4 linked regions of the Schizosaccharomyces pombe genome follow. The protein of the gene in region 3 interacts with the protein of the main gene of each other region in a biochemical or structural test. Each region holds a gene or a part of one and is shown on either strand. Other genes may lie near its edges.

Region 1 (7,582 bases), on a different chromosome or scaffold from region 3:
TGGGTGTTGAGGTCTACCCTTCCTATGGAACTTCAAAAGGATTCTCGCTTAATTGTAGATTCGGTATTGGATACTGCTTATTATGGATTTTTGATGACTGTGATCGCATTCATAGCCGTTTCTCATTGCAGTGTAGGACATTCAGAACTGCAATCTTTTTTGCAGGAACTTCTAACAGAGGAAGAAACAACCCCTTTGCATCTGGATATTACTCGCTCGTTATCTCTTTTAGTTCGCCAAGGGTATTTAGATAGAGTGAAAGATGATACCCATAACCAGTTTGTTTATTATATTGGATCCCGTGCAGTAACTGAAATTTCTATTGAAGGCTTGAAATCATTCGTTACAGAGTTCTTTCCGGATTCAGACATTGATATGGATGCTCTATTAACCGAATATCGGCAGGAGTATCAGAATCAATCTTCCTCAAGTGCAGCATAGATGACTCTTAGGTTTTTACATTATGCTCGTCTCATGTTAATGCTATTGTATACTTACTCCGCTACTACAAAAAAATTCGTAATATTATTTAAGTTCCTATATGCGTGCTAATATCTCGATATAAATTTAAGATGTATATTTGGTTATATAGCGGGAATATTATGTACAGCTGTTAAATAAAAAAAATAAAAAAATAGCTCGTAAACTTATAAGAGAAGTATATGTCAGTATATATAATATAATTAATAAAGGTTTCATCATTACAAAATCATTTAACTTCATGCGGCGCGCAACTCATCTTCAAGGCTTGCAATGCGATCTCGTAAAGCTCTCACATCTATTAACGAATCTTTGTTCACTTTTTCCAAAGAAGCAATTCGTTTTTGTAACTCCTGCTCACGTTTTTCATATTGTACTTGAACGGAAAACATTTTTGCCTTTTCGCTATTTATTTGATCCTTCAGAGCTTTCAATTCAATAGCATGAGCCAAGTTGACATGTTGCAAAGATTGGCCAGTAGGTTGAGGTGATACTTCGGCCCCTTTTAACTCATTAACTTGCTTCTCTAAGTTGTGCTTCTCAAGATTAAGACGGTCGTAGTCTCGTTTCAAGTTCTCGTATAACGCTTGATTTGCATTTCTTTGCTGTAAATCAAAAATTGTCTTTCGTTGTGGAATATTTTTCAAAACGGGTTCCGTAGTTTTGACAGCCGGTATATTATTCTCCTTTCCGGACGGTCTATGTTCTTTAAGGCGATGTATCTCTGCCTCTCGCTTCTTGCAGGAATCAAGAGCAGAATTCAGTTCCTTTCGAGTATCAACCAGCTTCATTTCTACTTCTGAAAGCTTACTACGTATACTTTCATGATCAGCAACTTTGTTCCTTAAAAGGGTGACTTCCGAACGGAGGCTTCTAGTTGTTTTTACTTCTTCTAGTACCTTTTGATACTCAACTTCAAGCTTTCGTTTACTCTCCAACTCTGATTTCAAAGAGCGTAATTCTTCGTTATCTCGACTAGCTATCAATGCTTTACGCTTTTCATCTTCAAAGGTCTTACCGAGTTGACTGTACTCGTGCATTAAGTTAGTAATCTTCCTCTCAAGTTCGGGAACCTTAGATGCTTTTGGAGAAAGTTCATTTACTTGCTTCGTCAAACTCGATACCTTATTAGAGAGATCTTTATTCTCGGAGCTCGCCAACGAAAGCTTTTCCTTGTAGGACGCCGATTGCCGAAGAAGACTTTCATGATTAAAGGTCAAATCACGATGTTTTTTCGAAAGTTCCTGAAAGTTTGTATCGACGTCTTTTAACCCCTCCAAGTCCAGCTGAAGTCCTTCATATTTTTTCTTGTAATTCTCCAAGTCGCTAACTTTAAGAAGTAAATTCTCATGGATTTCTTGCAATTCAATGTACTTTAAAGAAGCATCTGACAAATTTTGGCATTTCTCTTCCTTATTTTCAAGCTCTTTCGTTAACGATTTGATGTTATTTAAACATTCTTTAACTTTGGCTTCCAGTTCTTTATTTTTGGTAGCCTGGAGCTGATAAAGTTGATCTTTGTCATTCAAGGATTCTAGTTCTTTCTTCAATTTCGGAAGCTGTTTGACATCGGCTTCCAAATAATTAACCTTCTCTTCTAAGTTATTTATTGTTAACTCTTGCACTCCTTTCAAGACGCTTAACTCTTCTTTCTGCTGTTTTAAAATAGAGACGTCGCTTATAAGAGTAGAATTTTCACGTTCTAATTTTTTGACTCGTTTGAGACTCTCAGATAAAGAACCTTCCTGCTGAATACTCTTTTCATTCATCTTCTGATTTGTCAGTCTCATTTCTTGAATTTCAGTTTTATAGTCAGAAATATATTTAGTGAGTTTATCAAGTTCAGCATCCTTGGTAACGATAGTTTCCTGTAAACTTTTACATTGTTCATTGAACTCTGCTTTTTCTGATAAAACAGTTGCATTGTTCTCACGTAAAGACTCAAGTTCTCCCTTTGTATCTAGCAAATCCTTCTCTTCCAAACTCAGTTTTTCTTTCAGTTCGTTCTGTTCTGATAACAAAGTCTCAACCTTGGAAGTTTTTTCTAGTAACTCACTTTCTAATTCGTTATTAATCTGTTTCAATGACGCTGACTCTCGTTGCAAATTTTCATTTTGCTGTTTTGTTTCGCTAAACGAATCTTCTATGTTTGCAAGCCTTTCCTGTGTTCGACGTAATATTTCCTCCTTATCAAGGGCTATCGCACGTTCAGTAGTAAGCAAATTTTCAACAGCAGTTAAAGAATTGTTGGTCTCGACGAGATCACGCTCTACCTCAGATTTTGAATTCTGTTGTTTTTTCAGCTCGTACTTCAGCTCTATGATTTCAGCATCTCGCTTTTTAAGCTGCTTATCATTTTGAGTACTACTTAATAAGGGCCTTAGATTGAAAAATAACTTAGCCCAAGGAAAAGTTCTAAATTCATTGTACACTTGCAAATTTGCTTGTAGTAATTTGATGGCTTGTATGTCCTTCAATCGCTTTTGAAAAATTTTTCTTTGAAGAAAGCCACGGATCCTTGTTTGTAGCATAGTCATCAGTCTTTGTAAAGTCGCTACGCGCCTCTCCTCTAATTCTGCTAAAACACCTGCTTTGAAAAATATTTTTGAAACACCAATTCGATAAGATGCTTCGTCAATTTTCAACTCCTCCAAAATCATGACAGAAGCACGTCGAGATTCCACATAGGTACCTGTTGGTAAATGCGCCATTATCTCATATCTGACTCTAAAATCATTAAATGGTAAACGGTTAGGAAAACCAGCCCTTGTGATTCTGATTCCTTCCAAAACACCATTACATCGAAGTTGTCCTAAAACGAGGGGTCTATTAAAGGTGTGCATTTTCTTTTCTTCGTTTGGAACAATACAACGAATAAAGTGAGGTTGGGTCGAGTTAAATTGATTCATAAGCTGATTGAGCTGCTCTTTATGCCTTTGAGCAACAGTTCGAAAAAGGCCCTTTTTCGTCCTTCCCCTAACAGTTTTAGTCTCAGTTTCCTGATAATCAGAAAATAGTGTAGCGACATGCTTGTTAGTAGATTGCGCAAGCAACTTAGCAACGTTTTCATTCAAAGGATCGGTGTTCTTCTCCAGCCAACCTTCTGTACTGTAAGGAACATCAGCGGCATAATGAGTCAAAATAAAACCTTGATCGGCAAACTTAAAAGGTTTATATTTTAGCGACTTGTTCCTCCAAAGAGCATCAAGTTTAGAAGTAAACGTAGCATCAGTTGCTTTCGGCATAACACATTCTTCATCCAAACATGAAAGAATACCTATTGGGTTTGCTTTCTCGATTAAATCAATAGTCGGCTGTAAATCATGTCCAAAATCAATGAAATCCCATACAATTTCTTCTTTCATATATTCTTCTTGCTCCAATACGAACATGTGATGGTTAAAGAATTGTTGCAACTTTTCATTTGTGTAATTAATGCAAAGTTGTTCAAAACTGTTTTTCTCAAAGATTTCGAAACCGGCGATATCTAAAATACCAATAAAGTAGCTTTGGGCATTGGAATGGTTCAAGGAAGTGTTAAGTCGCTTTACCAGCCATCCAAAATTCCTTTCGTATATGGCTTTTGCTAATGCTTCAATGGACGAAATGACTTGAGTTTGACTTCGAGCGCTGATAACCCATTCATGGCCTGCTTTAATACGAGGTCGAACAAGATTTTGTGAAAATAACTCCGGAGACACACCAAGCAAATGACAGAGCTTGTCAATCTCATCAGGATTGAGAAGACGAGCTATACCAGAGCGATCAGCACCGACATCAATATTTCCCATATGTAGAATAATGGAAAGTATATTAAATAAATCAAAGTTCTCTTTATCGTCAAATCCAAGAGTTTTAAAAGCAGCTAAAAGAGTTTTAAACTCTTCTTTATCGTCAACTCCATCAATAATGTGAACCGAATCCTTCAAATATCGATAATCATTACAGTTATCGGTTAAAAGAAGTTTGTTCTTGAGAGCAGTATCAGCACCACTTAAAAGCTGATAAAAAACATGGTAGTTTCTTTCAAACTCGTTCTGATGAACAACGCGAGATTTTTCAAGAAGATACCATTCTATGGCGGCATTCGAAATTTCCCCACTCAAAGAAAACTCAACTTTAATGAATTTTCCAAAACGAGAAGAATTGTTGTTGCGTACGGTACGAGCATTACCAAATGATTCGAGCACAGGATTCGTTTTAATGATCTGCTCTTCAACCTGACTAGAGCCAACGGTAGTCGAGCTAGCAATTGCTGCAAGATATTGGATGATTCTTTTGGTATTCTCTGTTTTACCTGCGCCGGACTCACCAGTTACAAGAATCGATTGATTTTCCTTATTTTCTAAAAGGTTATTGTATGCTAAATCCGCGATTGCGAAGACATGAGGTAGCTTGCGCTCTTGTGTTTTATCTTTGTACAATTGAATGATGTCCTTCGTATAGATTGGTAGTCCACAATAAGGATTGACCGCAACGAGAAAGAGCCCAGAATAGGTATAAATTTGATCAGAGAGATATCTCTGTTCAAGATTGTATGTGACTGCAGGCTCGTTTAAGTATGTCAACTCAGCCATGTCATTGACTCTATCAAACTTGGCAGGATTCACCGGATCAATTTCATCCTCACCAACGATCTTCTCATCCCTGGAATTATTATACCGAACAACATATTTCTTGTCTGGCAGATCCTCTTTAATCCAAGCCTTGGTAAAGGCAGTCTCTGGGTCGGAAATCCAAACCCATCGTTTATCATCAATATCCTTCAGACTAGTTGCACCATCTTTTGCAGTTATTTTATTAGATATTACTTCTGTCATCGGGCTACTCTCTAAGACGGTTATTTACCGCCTTTCCTGAAAATAAACAATGCGGTGTACAATACCAAAACCTTGTAAAACAATAAGGATAGACCAAAAATCAAAGAGTGAAAAAATCCAAAAAGATAGCAATAGATATATCCGAAAAGAAGGATCAACAAATGCACAGAGAAAACGTTAAAGAACTATGTTGTTGGATACTTTTTGTACTCCCCGTTGAACGCACAGCAATTAATGATTTAAGCACTTGAACATTCGATTAACGCATGCGTTAATCGAACGTTTATGTACTTGATCATATTTGCGTTAAAACATTTAGTATAGGTTAAGGTAGCATCCAGAAACATTCCTATAACATAATGATTTTAATATCACAATTAAGAAGGTATATATATCTTTTAAAAGAAATAATATTAATAGATGGAGGTCATTATATACTCGGTCTTTTGCAATTAAAGTCCTGACAAATTTTTAAAGCTTTACTTTCATCAAGATTGAAGATATTAAGTAATAATTGAAAATACATTGTACTAATACTCAAAACATCAAATGAACGTAGGATTAGGGGTTACGGTTTAATCGAAATTTCATGTTCCCCCGTGCTTTTAGGTAAAATGATTGTATAAAAAACTCCCGCTATTACAGATATATGAGTAATTTGTGACTAGATACGCAAATAATATGTTCCTCATCGTACCGAACACAACTTTTAAAGCAAATAACTAAACTCGGCATTTATTTATCTACATTTTATATATAGCACTCTAATCATGCCTCTTACTGAATAATTATAAGAACACGCTCTAGCTAATAATCGCAATCAGTAATTATTATGTGCTTACTGACCATCTACAGCTATGGCCCTGGTAATAATCAATAAGTAAATATACAGAAATGTTAGTTGCTTCAGTTAGTGTTTGAAAGAAAGCATGGTGCTTCAATGTGTAACCACATCTTTAAACTTATGATCAAAACATGCAGAATACCATAACCAGTTACGTAAAAAAACAACAATGTTCTCTGTTTTCATCAACTGTAGTCGGCAAGTTTATGCAACTTGTACAATAAGCCAATTTTGGCTTAACACTGAACATAATGATAGTAGCGATCATTTTAAGTAATTAAAAAATGTTAATGCATGCAGATTTTAATATTCCTTTGTGATAAAATGGGTAGGGAAATGTAAAAAAAAAAAAAAAGAAGAAATAAAATTTCAAGGCTGCGATAAAATATGATTCGAAAGATGCAGGATGTTCCGTAAAACAAAATAAGATAAACGTTTCCGATATTCAAAAGTATGGATGAGTAAAAAAGACAATCATGGCAAGAAAACTTGTAATAAATATGATAATTATCAATCTTCAATTATGAAGGAGTTTGTTTTTGCCTTATTTAAAGCGAGTATCAAATGGCGATCGTGATACTGAGGATGAACCATGCCAAACATTATATATTTCCCATTGGCTAGCCAATCACTGTTACTAGGGTAGTATTTAATGTCATTTCCTTGGATAATTTGATTAAGTTTCCTAGTTCGCGTGTTCCATATTTCGACAAATTCATCATTAAATGCAATGAGATATCCATGACAGCTGGTAACAGAGTTCGGTTTGCCAATCCAATCAAACCAACACTCTTTATTAACCATACTACCCTCTCCATTGACAAACACGGCACCGAATTGATAGCAGCATGCAAATAAGCTAGGATCGTGGATGCGAAAGACGCCAAGCGGCTTACTGTTGTTGATTCGGTTCCGAAACAACGTATCATTAAGCACTGAAGGGCTTGGAAAACCAACTGCTAATTTAGGGTCCAAACGCAGAACGTCAATGCCTTTATTGTGACAAAGAGCAATTGAATACTTAAAGCAATCAATTGAATGACAGTTAGCCGTTACGTGAAAATCATCCAGAGTTCTGAAGGAAGTAACATCTTTTCTCTTGAAGGCATATGTTTTCTGATAGTTATGTCCTAAGCCGATCACTGGTTCACAGCAAATTATGGTTGTAGTATTACCGAGTCCCTCTTTATAAAAAACCAAAGTTCGCTCACGTTTAACAGAAGCCCCCTCAGACAATTTACCTATTTTAAAGAATGATACGGCATGCGGAGTTCCAATGACAACTGCAATTTTGGATTCGATCAGACCCATTTCAATAATACGACTTAATTTATGAGCATAAAGGGTTTTGTCACGTAGCTCTAATAGGATATCAAATTCCTCAACAACTCCAAGCTGGGTAACGCGTCTTTGACTAGAGATCTTTTTCCAATCGCGA
Region 2 (3,579 bases), on a different chromosome or scaffold from region 3:
TTAACGCAAACCCTGTACCTCGTTATTCCGATAAAGGTTTATGTAAATTTATATCAAGTAGAACATGTAAATGGCAATACATGTCAATACATTAAGATATTCTTTTTATTTACGTTAACATCTTATGTTTTTAGTTGATTCAACTTTGATTATGCTTACGATGCCTAACAATGCTCTTCAACGTGTACGGATATCGGATTTCCAAAAAAAAAATAATAAAATAAAATAAAAGGCAATTTAACAAATAGGTAAATTCATAGAAAATGTGAGTTTAACAGGTATTGTGATTCTGCAAAATAGATTGATTTTAAAAAACCCGCGCTGAAGATGAATGTCATTCATACAATAAAGTAAGACAAACCTAACTATAATGATCCCCTAACAAAAGCACGACCACTCGTTTGCACGAATTACTTTAAGGTAGACGTGTATAAACAACTTACAAAATACCGATTTCAGCCTAGCAAACTTCAATATTTACATCGTAAAAAAAAGGAAAGATAAAGACGGTATTTATCATATAGAAGTCTTTATTAAAGAGTTGGCATTCGAAAAAAAATAAAAGCTTATCATTCAGATAACATTAAGACAGTTATGCTTACAAAATGTTATTTAAGTTAGAAGGGAAAGTGGTGGGAATCGGGAAGATAAGGGCACATTTCTTCTCAATTTACAATACTCAGACATTTGATATCATAAATACTGATTCTCGTAAAAAGGTAACACCAGTAAGTTGACTAAAGAAAGAAAACAGTGTTCCATACCAAAATCAAATCATTTTTCGCTAAATATAAACCATAAAAAGTGAGGTCGAACTTAGCTAGTTGACAAAGTAAGAAAGAAAAAGAATGACAGCAAATAGAAGATATAAAAAAGGTGGTATGTTTCTTCTATGTTCGTCAAGCTTTTCGCTATCTACAAATCCTCAAGAGCTTGGTGAACTTCATCTAATTCAGCCTTGACCTTAGTATACTTGTCAGTCATTTCTTCTAGTTTCTGTTCCATATCATCACGCTCACGCTCTAGAGATTGGACGCGACGTTCAAAATGCTCAGCCTTAACATCAGTTTGACGCATCTTTTCGGTGGTTTCGCGAAGTAGCTTGTCATTAGTTTCTAGTTCTTCCTCTAAAAGCTCAACTTTACGGCTCAACTGCTCGGCTTCCGTCTTTTGAATATCTTCATTGTCGGCTTTGAGACGTAACTGCTTAGTTTCTTCTTCTAACTCTTCGAGTTGAGACTCGGCGGCTTCGCTTTTCCTCGAAAGAGACTCATATTCTTGCTCTTTAAGAGAAAGTTGAAGTTCAACTTCTTTCAACTTGGCTTCAGCTGCTTCAGCACGAGCGACAGCCTCATCAGTCTCAGCACGAGCGGCATTAATTTTCTAAATAAAAAGCAAATATTAGCAACTTGATTTTCCAATGAAAAGCTATCATCTCATACCTCTCTAAGCTTATCCATTTTCCTACTGTTTCCTTCTTTCCTTGATGGTGGAGGGAAGATACCGATGGGTGTGTTTGACATGCATATACCACGGTAAGGGTGGTGAATTAATTGACGGTACAAGAAAGTTCTATTTACTAATTTATTACAAAGAAATACACACAAGCTCTACAGTAAAGCGCTTTGTTCATCAAAGAACAAAGAAGTTGAGGCTTTGCTTACAACACACCAGATTGTTAATTTCATCAAAGAAATAAGCGTTAAAAGAGCAAAGTTAAAAACAGTAGTCAAACATTTGTAAATTATAATCGAAGTGTTCCTGCAATAGATTTTCAAGTTTGGAATGAAGTGATTTAAACAATGCCTGATTTTTGTATTTATGACTGAAATTTTAAGAGCTCTCTACTGCTAAAGAAAAATGGCATATATCAATAATATTTAATCATTTAGTTATACAATTATAAAGAGGTCCGCTTGTTAATTTCATATTTACACACATACAGACTAGGAATTAGTTGGAAACAGGTATTTAAGAAGCAATATTTTAAATGGCTATTATCATACTTCCAATTGCCAAAGTAATCATTTCATTAAGTTTCACAACATTTAGCTTACATAGGTTACGGAGTCGTAATTGCGACAAGAGAAAAGAAAGGAGAATCAATACTCTGAATATAATTTTTAATAACTGAAAGTACTTCGGCATTCAGTAAATCACTTTCAATTTCAGAATGTTGCACGGGCCCCTCTTGGCGGCCGTCTAGCTCATAAAAATGATTGTCGTCCTTTGATTTTCCCTTTACAAAACAGATAAAATGAAGATCAGTTTCTACATCTTCCTCAGACCCCTCTACTTCCAAAGGTGGACCAGCAAATGCTGCATGTAAAGCTTCAAGTTCTTTCGAATCCTCGATAAGCTTAGCCCTTTCTTCGATAGATGAACCTTCAGCAGTTCTGATTAGACTTTTAATAAAATCATTTTCATTGACTTTTCTTCTAAGTTCTCCATTCGAAACCGCATGTAGCAATCCAATCGTTCCGCAAGCATTTGGAATTGTTTGAGGGTACCACAAGACTTTGTCACTATCCTTTGGTAAAATTCGTGATCCTTTATATATAGTTTTTGTTCCTGAGGATGGAAAAACGAATAAAAGAGCATGGACAGGACGAGGGATATATTCGGGGATTTCCTCTAATGAAAACAGGTCAAAAACGCTAGCATCTTGTACACCGATTTTTTGTAAGTAAGGTTCCAGCACCTCTGGTGTATTTTCTAAAGGCCTCCACATTGTAATTTTTCTCGAATGATAAATGGCTCTAATTGAGGCTTTTTTGATCAGGTTTGGAAGGCGTGGCAGAGGTCTCAGAAGTCAGCAAAGAGGCAAAACACCAAAGTTTGACAAAGTTAATCGAATATCTTTAGATTGCCAATTTTGGGAATCTACAAAAAAGCTTTACTATAATCAGTATCCTATACTTCAATATCCTGTCACGTTCAGCTATGAAGATGACTGTAAAAATAGGGATTGTTCCATAGGTATATTATAAATAGAGTCATAAAATATTAATAATTACCAAGATTTACCTATATACATTTACTGTAAAATCTAAAATTCTGGCTTCGAAGTCCAACCAACGTTCTTATAGGTAGTGTTGAAATATTTGCACGAATAAAGATTTTTCAAAATGAAGATACTAAGAGTTAGAAGACCTTAAGTTTCTGAGAAGTTCAGCAATATAAAGCTCCACGTGCGATTTCAATTTTTCGAATTCCATAGTTATAGAGGATATTTGAGACTCCAGTTCTTCTCGCATTCCAGCAATTTTTTGTTCGGTCATCTCTATCATGGCATTTTTCTTTTCAGTCTCCTGAATCTTTTTATTCCTTTCTTGGGTAATTACTTTGTATTCTTCCCGTATGTTGTCCATTCGTTGTTTGGCAGCCTCAAGTTTTTGATTTCGAGAATGTTGTTCATGCTCGAGTTTTTCTTGAGCATTAGATAATTGCTTTAAAAGTTGTTCTTTTCTGAACTCAAGTTTTTTTTTGTTTATTTCTATTTGATCGCAAAGCTCTTGATTTGTAGAAAGCAACACAGTAGCATGTTCCAGTTTATCCAATTCTACAAGACATTCTTCA
Region 3 (4,420 bases):
TTTTTCATCAACATCATTTAACGTTCGTTTTAATGCGTCTATACTCTGTCACGAGTTCAGGCACCGGGTCTTGGCCATCCTTTTTCATACATGTTCTGCAAATTTCGATGGATCTTTTCTTTCCATGTTTCAGCAGCAACTTATTTTATTTAATATGGTTAACATTTTTCTCTTATTCTTTGAACAATGGTTTTAATATTATCATAATACTACAAAAAAAAATAATAATCTCTTGTAATAATATATGTTGACGAAACAATTCTAAATAAAGTCATAGGAATGTAATATCATTGGATTTGTTTATACAGAGAGGCGTCGTCAGTCCAAATTACTTTGTCACTATATATTAATCGCTCAACTATACAACTGGCTAATCGGGCTCCATCTCCTACAGCTTCATAATTCACTACTTCCTCTCTTTTTATATTTGAAGAACACTAATCATACCAATGTCTTACAATTTATAAGAATTTTACCTCAACTATACTATCCAACAATGATCATATACCATGTATGTATTAAATCTTTTTTTGACCTAATAAACTTTTGCTAATACTAATGTAAAACACATTCAACCATTTGGCTTCAAAGTTATACAAGTTCAGGTACCAATTAAATCAGTACTGAAGATGATACAACTCTACAGGACGAAAAGAAATGGCTGATGAAGTACATTGCACCACTTCCGCTTCTAACTATCTCGCAGTTACCACCTTGTACAAAATAAAATTCGTAAAAATTAACGGGAGTAAGTAAAATTCATTTACTACAGTTCTTTAATCGATAATCACAGCGATAAACATAACGAAAATATCGACAAAAATAATCGGCCGGACTCGAGAAGAAACATGTTAAAGAAAACGGGAAGTTATAAGCGAATGAAGTAACATCATAGGTATCTACTGGAAATATTTCTGTAACTTCAATATGTAAAAGGCTAGCTCTGCATTCGTCTATAATGAAAAAAAGAAAACAGAGCAAGAAAACGATAGTAATCAGAAAGTATATAAAACACTCCAATAATTGATACCCAAAGTTCCTCATGAGATGTTAAGAGCGGAAAAAGGTGGTTAAATAGGTAAAAAAAGATTGAAATTTATATATATCAGAAGAATCGATGTTATTCAAAAGTATGTAAAAAACGTTACAAAAAGTAAGAGGAGCTTAGAAGCACTTACGGTAAACGATACCAGGTCCGCTCTCATCATACTCTTGCTTGGAGATCCACATCTGTTGGAAAGTAGAAAGAGAAGCAAGAATGGATCCACCAATCCAGACAGAGTATTTACGCTCAGGAGGAGCAACAATCTTGACCTTCATGGAGCTAGGAGCAAGGGCTTGAATCTCCTTTTGCATACGATCGGCAATACCGGGATACATAGTGGTACCACCAGACATAACAACGTTACCGTACAAATCTTTACGAATATCAACATCACATTTCATGATAGAGTTGTAAGTAGCCTCATGAATACCGGCGTTTTCAAGACCCAAAGCTGAGGGTTGGAAAAGAGCTTCAGGGGCACGGAAACGCTCGTTTCCGATAGTGATAACTTGACCATCAGGAAGCTCATAAGATTTCTCAAGGGAGGAAGATTGAGCAGCAGTTTGAAGTTCTTGCTCAAAGTCCAAAGCGACGTAGCAAAGTTTCTCCTTGATGTCACGAACAATTTCACGTTCGGCGGTAGTAGAGAAAGTATAACCACGCTCCATGAGAATCTTCATAAGGTAGTCAGTCAAGTCACGACCGGCGAGATCAAGACGCATGATAGCATGAGGAAGAGCATAACCCTCATAAATGGGAACAGTGTGGGTAACACCATCACCAGAGTCCAAGACGATACCAGTGGTACGACCAGAGGCATACAAAGACAAAACAGCTTGAATAGCAACATAAAAGGCAGGTGCATTAAAGGTTTCGAAAATAATTTGAGTCATCTTCTCACGGTTGGATTTGGGGTTCAAAGGAGCCTCAGTCAACAAGCAAGGGTGCTCCTCAGGAGCAACACGAAGCTCGTTGTAGAAAGTGTGATGCCAAATCTTTTCCATATCATCCCAGTTGTTGACAATACCGTGCTCAATGGGGTACTTCAAGGTCAAAATACCACGCTTGCTTTGAGCTTCATCACCAACGTAGGAATCCTTTTGTCCCATACCTACCATAATACCATGGTGACGGGGTCTACCGACAATCGAGGGGAATACAGCTCTAGGGGCATCATCTCCAGCGAAACCGGCTTTGCACATACCAGAGCCATTATCAATAACCAACGCTGCGATTTCTTCTTCCATGGTCTTGTCTTTTGAGGGTTTTTTGGTTCGTTACAAAAAATGTAGTTGGTAAACGGTAAGTTATAACACGGCTGGCTGAGGTGGTATGAAGCCGTTGATTACATATAGATAAGATACACAGTTATACAGTGAAAATCTCTTATATATTTTAAAATATACATTTAAGTATAATGGGTGTTTAAATATGTATGAAATTGCTATATTTGAGCCACTTTTTTGATAAAGCCACACACAGCGTTAGCACTTCACGGCAGAATGCGCACGGAAGAAGACCGCGGAAACGGATAACATTGAGCAACCGGTTGTAGTACTGTAAGCGATATAGCAAATCCTTTAAAAGCTCTTATAAACATATAAGGAAATATAATTTCCGCGTTATTTAACTTGAAAAGCAAAAAACAAAAGAAAATGAAAGTTCACGATATCGAATATAAAAGAGATGGTCATAAAAATCTTATCAAAATTCACAGACAAATCTTCAAAGGTATTTCAAGTATTTGCAACTCGCGTGTCCCTATTTTATTAGTATTCATTCGACATTGTTATGATCAATAATTTAACACTAGCAAAAAAAAAGGTAATTTTTTTTTATCAAATGGCTATTAAATTACATCTAATTAAAAATTTCTCTTGATACAATGTATTATAGTTGGGTTGAATCGTATACTATAAAAATAATTAGTGATCAAAAGAATGAATATTAGTTTTAATCAAAGATAGATAAAAGTATAAGAATAATCATTAACATAAAAATTAAGATGTCATAAAATAAAAGAAAAATTCAGTAAAAACAACCCAAACACCGTCTCATTATCGTAGATCAAACACTAAAGAGCAAGCTGACTTTTACGATAGTGATAGAGCAATCCTCCAACAGCTACAAATTGACATATTAGTGCAATATAAAAGCAAGGTGATGCACAAGGTCCCGGTCCTTCGCTAGGATTCCATGCACCAAGATTTGGGAATACTCGATCACTTACAGGCAGAGAAGGTTTTGCGATCATAATTGTAATACAACTTATAACTTGCGCTAGCATCAACGTGAAAGCAACATGATCTCTCGCCAGGGTTTGCAGTAACATTACACCGACACCGACTCCCTGTATCCCGTCCCATAGAGCTAGCAAAAGCCATACTGACTTCGTCAGCAAGGCAGAAGCCTTACCAGCCCATGGTAAATTAATTCCGAGACCCGAGGATGACCAAAACTCTAAGCACCAGCGTGGACAAATGAGGCCCAATCCAAATATCACTGGAAACCAAACGTTATTAAGAGACAAAATCTTTATAACTGATAAGAGAACGGCCCAAACCACGATGAAGAAAATGAGTAAAAGAATGATTATGCTCCACAAAGGAGTGTTGCTAGTATTCCAGAAAAACCTCCAAGCCTGGCCATAAGGGACAGCAAGCCAGTAATTGATTAAAATTTGAGAGATAAAAAACCAAATTACAATATTTCGTTTTCCTAATGAACGATAAAACGCTGGAATGATAGAAGGAGCTTGGCGATAAAAAGCAGGTAAACCTGCGAATGTTACGTAGGAAAGCCCGAAGCAAATGAAAGAGGCGATAAGTCCCCCTGCAAAAATGCCAGGCCCCACATTTTGAGTCAAATCTTTCTTCGATAATAGATCTCCCCATGACCAGAGGATTGCAGACCAAATCTGTTGAATCCCATGTACAAGACAGGCCCTCAAAATCCAATGATGAGTTGCGATACCTCCTTCGGCACCAAAATTCCATGCAAAATACAGCGATCCAGTAGAACTTGAAATGGCATAAACGTAAGCCGCTATGTGTTGAATTACCGAACAAGCAGTAGTTTTCTGGAAAAAGTGAGTGATCGCAACTAAAATGAAAGATATGCCAAAAAAGAAGAAAGGGAGAGATAAAATGTATCTCGCTTGAACCACTCGGGATAAGAACCACCAAAACAGAGAGAAGAATGAGAAAATAGAGAGCAGAATGTACATGGACACTGTAGATTGCGCAGATTCTCCAGAAAGTAAAGTTAATTGATAAGAAGATGCTCCAAGAATTTGCCCAATTGCCAATACAATCGTATATAGAGGCCATCCACCAATACTGTGAAGAAGTAATTTTTGTAACCGAGTAGCTTCAT
Region 4 (3,417 bases), on a different chromosome or scaffold from region 3:
TTAATGTTCTTTGCATACCAATGTTTGATTGTGCCCCAGTGTAAATTTGCTTACTTTATTGATTATAATAACAATAAAAGCAGCAATTCACTTACATTTGATCAATAACAGATCAAGTAGACTAGTACGTTGAAAATAGCTGGTAAAATACATGCTATGTGATCAATGAGCAAACTAATGAAAACATCATTTTAAAATGATAGCGAATGAACAGCAATTGTTATATTAATATGGAATGGCATTACTTTGTAGATCGTTGGATTTCGTAATTTGTTAATTAGCATTTTTAGGAATGCAGAATCATTATATATAGAGGAATATTTGTAACAATTTCAATGACTAAATAGTGGTAGATGAAATCTACAGAATTAAAAAGTCGGAACTGAGAAAATAAAACTAAGCTTACTTACTATACCATACTTGAAGTAGATGAATAAAAACCTGCAAGCACCCAGGCACTCAAACATTTCAGCTAGTGGTGGAAACTGCGTAGAACTAATTTCTCTATGATTGCTTGTCAATTACATTGGCAAATAACTTGCAGTGTTTTTCATATACCGACTCATCCGTTATCACATGACAAATTTTTTAAAGTAGATATACTATTGACAAATTAAATATCAACAGGAAACCAACGTACACTTAAATCTTTGTATTTATAGTTCTAAATATATAGAAAAAGATATTTAAGGAGCGTTGAAGGATCGGTTTGCATACCGAAACGAAGTTATTTAATTTCATTTCGTATTACGCATGAGTCAAGAAATCGTAACCAAAAGTGTTTTACTTACGAGTAACCTTCTCAAGAACTGTCTCATAAGCAACTTCGGAGAAATCAGTTGCTTGGATGTCAGTACCGATTCCAGTAAAAGCGCGACGTAAAGTATCTTTAGAAGAAGAGTAAACCATCTTAGATTTAATGGGAGCAACATCAGGAGACCAGCTAATAAAGATAATCTTGTTACGAACACCTTCTCCGAGATTGAACTCAAAATCATAGATAGCATAACGGCAATCCTTTTCAGGCAAGTCACCAAGGAAAGTATCGAAGTCCTTATCCGTACTCTTCTTTTCAACAACAATTTCAGCTAAACAAAAAAAAATTAGTGAAAGGTTCCACATAATTATAAAAACGACATAGAAAGACATTACAAACATAAAATATATATCAATGTAGATAAATAAATTTATTTTTAAAAAAAGGGATATTGGACTTTCTCAAATTCCATCTAAATCGTTTTCGTCACTTACTCTTGGTATCGTTCATTTTGAAAACTACGTAACGGAGTGACTTTCCAAGCTTGAGCTCTTGGAAAGCTTCCAAGCATTCGGGAGAGACTTTGACACCTGAAAAAGACTAATGTATGTTAAATAAACACGATGTAAAGTTAACAAAAATATTTCATACCATATTATTTATTTACTGATAGCGGGTAAGCTAGTGTGGTTGGCACTGGTTTGGTTAGGGGAGGGCTACTCGCATCAGTAGATACCGTCGCCCCAAGTAAGGGTGGCGCACTACTCTAAACAAGCAGAGTCTATAATTTCTTATTATTATGTTGCATGACCCTTATTAAATATAAGCGAAAAAACATACAGTTCTACAAAAAAATAATAGCAAATGGTTATGCGTATGCACTACCGCCTAAATATTCCACACTAATTTATATATCTAGCAAGTGAGTGAACTAATGCAAAAAAAAATTTAACTGTAAATGGATCGCTATGAAGAAACAAGATGATTGTTACTATTTATTAGCTATTCCTTACGCTATTTCCAAAAATCTTTATGCAAAAAGACTTGGAAGTTAATAATTTTTAAGTCTAGAAATAGATTGTATAAAAAACGGTCAGAGCTGCTTACTTTGTTCGTTCATAACTTAAGGAATGTTCCAGCTACTCAATCAAATTTGAGAACTTTCACAAAAATTAACTGAATTTTAAAGTAGAAAAACACTTCAAGTGGAATTTTGAATAGCCAATTTATTAAGTAAAGAAGGGACTAAAAAGACATTTCTAAAATATATAGGGAATAAATAAGTAAGGGCATATACGGCAATACTCATCGAAATCAGCCCCATACTTAGCTTTGCACTTTTTAATATCACGTGAAACACGATGCACAAGGACTACAAAGAAAAAGCATGGGTAAAAGTAAGGTAGAGGGGACTGAAAACCGGTGATCAATGCCCATGACAATGATTGAAAGAAATCAGCAGTATAATGAATTTTACGAGCGTACCTATACCAACCTGAAGTCAACAAAGTACCGCCATTTGCACAACGAATAAAGGTAGGGTTCTTGATGATAAGCCAGGGAAGTTGGGGAAATGTTTTGCGATGAACCTCAGTACCATAAATTTGATTACGGAAATGATTTTTTTGACCATTGCAAGTATCAAATATATAATAACAGCAAAGAAGCAAAACATAAATACCGGTTGTATATTGAGTTGACCAGTTGTAAACAGATGGATCATGCGAAAAAAGGTAAAGGGTGCAGTGTGAATAAGTAAATGGGACCCCAGCCATGTTCCAAAAGATAAGCATAAAACCAAACTTTTCATAAGCCATGTCCCAAGTTGGAACAATCAACTGCTCTCCCTTCGAGCACGCGTTTGCATACAAATAATGGCCAAGACAAACGAAAAGTACCTGAGGACTTACAGTGCCATAAGTTTCATATTGACGAACAGCAGCACCAACGGAAATAAAGAATAGGATAAACCAAGGGATACGAACTTCAAAGAACATTTTAAAATCAAGCAATTTGCCAAGGCGAGGATTCAAGCAAGCTCCCATAAAGGCATCGTAGATGGGATTTCCAGATAACCGATGAGGTTTATCAAAAAGTCGATCACCAAAAAGCAAAGTTCCAGTGTACAAAACAAAGGTACAGACAAAAGCGGTTATTATTGCAACGCTCATCAAAGGACCGAACATGTCGATAAATGTAGTAATTGGAAATACGTGGGTCACGTGAAGAACGGCAAGAATAACAATTGTCGTGTAAAAAGACCAGATAGCATTGCATAAGTAAGGAAGACGTTCGTTATTGCGATGCTTTAAAGGCAAACCTTGCGTCCGAACACCAGGAAGAGTTAAGTACATGACAGCCTGAACTATACAAAACGACCAAAAAACCAAGAATGCATACCGTGTTGGATAGGCACCGACGTAGATATAATGGCCTAACGTTCTAAAAAAATTTTGAAATCCTGCTATCGTAAAAGATTCTGGTTTAATAAACTGCGAATCATTAAATTTGGAGCATGCCCATAAGTAATACATTAGACAAGGGAATCCTGTCATAATTGCCAATGCACCTTTGGCACCGCCAAACTCACGAGGAGCTGATTTCTTTACTGTAGATTTCATCGCGAATTCTATCTACTTCACACAACGTGTCTATAAAAA

The links.
Region 1: the proteins of act1 (region 3) and myo2 form a complex in vitro, tested with the Schizosaccharomyces pombe proteins (one study listed by BioGRID).
Region 2: the proteins of act1 (region 3) and cdc8 form a complex in vitro, tested with the Schizosaccharomyces pombe proteins (2 studies listed by BioGRID).
Region 4: the proteins of act1 (region 3) and adf1 form a complex in vitro, tested with the Schizosaccharomyces pombe proteins (4 studies listed by BioGRID).

What each region holds. Positions count from the first base shown.
Region 1 is NC_003421.2:1,232,731-1,240,312, forward strand, and holds myo2 (myosin II heavy chain myo2), read right to left. Parts: upstream 5,507-7,582; 5' UTR 5,301-5,506; coding exon 720-5,300; 3' UTR 501-719; downstream 1-500. Other genes in the region: Smc5-6 complex non-SMC MAGE family subunit Nse3, read left to right, coding at 1-441; RhoGEF for Rho1, Rgf3, read right to left, coding at 6,655-7,582. UniProt on the Schizosaccharomyces pombe protein: Required for cell division. It is a component of the cdc12 'spot', a structure thought to mark the site of septation. May work in conjunction with myo3.
Region 2 is NC_003424.3:4,318,745-4,322,323, forward strand, and holds cdc8 (tropomyosin), read right to left. Parts: upstream 1,492-3,579; 5' UTR 1,461-1,491; coding exon 1,443-1,460; exon of another isoform or gene 1,429-1,442; intron 1,384-1,428; coding exon 916-1,383; 3' UTR 503-915; downstream 1-502. Other genes in the region: ubiquitin hydrolase Uch1, read right to left, coding at 2,063-2,731; protein Nuf2, read right to left, coding at 3,138-3,579. UniProt on the Schizosaccharomyces pombe protein: Forms part of the F-actin contractile ring during cytokinesis.
Region 3 is NC_003423.3:1,474,985-1,479,404, forward strand, and holds act1 (actin Act1), read right to left. Parts: upstream 2,350-4,420; 5' UTR 2,293-2,349; coding exon 1,165-2,292; 3' UTR 501-1,164; downstream 1-500. Other genes in the region: spore wall alpha-1,3-glucan synthase Mok12, read right to left, coding at 3,120-4,420. UniProt on the Schizosaccharomyces pombe protein: Actins are highly conserved proteins that are involved in various types of cell motility and are ubiquitously expressed in all eukaryotic cells.
Region 4 is NC_003424.3:4,824,667-4,828,083, forward strand, and holds adf1 (cofilin), read right to left. Parts: upstream 1,461-3,417; 5' UTR 1,412-1,460; coding exon 1,409-1,411; intron 1,358-1,408; coding exon 1,252-1,357; intron 1,089-1,251; coding exon 784-1,088; 3' UTR 591-783; downstream 1-590. Other genes in the region: C-24(28) sterol reductase Erg4, read right to left, coding at 2,017-3,378. UniProt on the Schizosaccharomyces pombe protein: Controls reversibly actin polymerization and depolymerization in a pH-sensitive manner. It has the ability to bind G- and F-actin in a 1:1 ratio of cofilin to actin. Binding to F-actin is regulated by tropomyosin.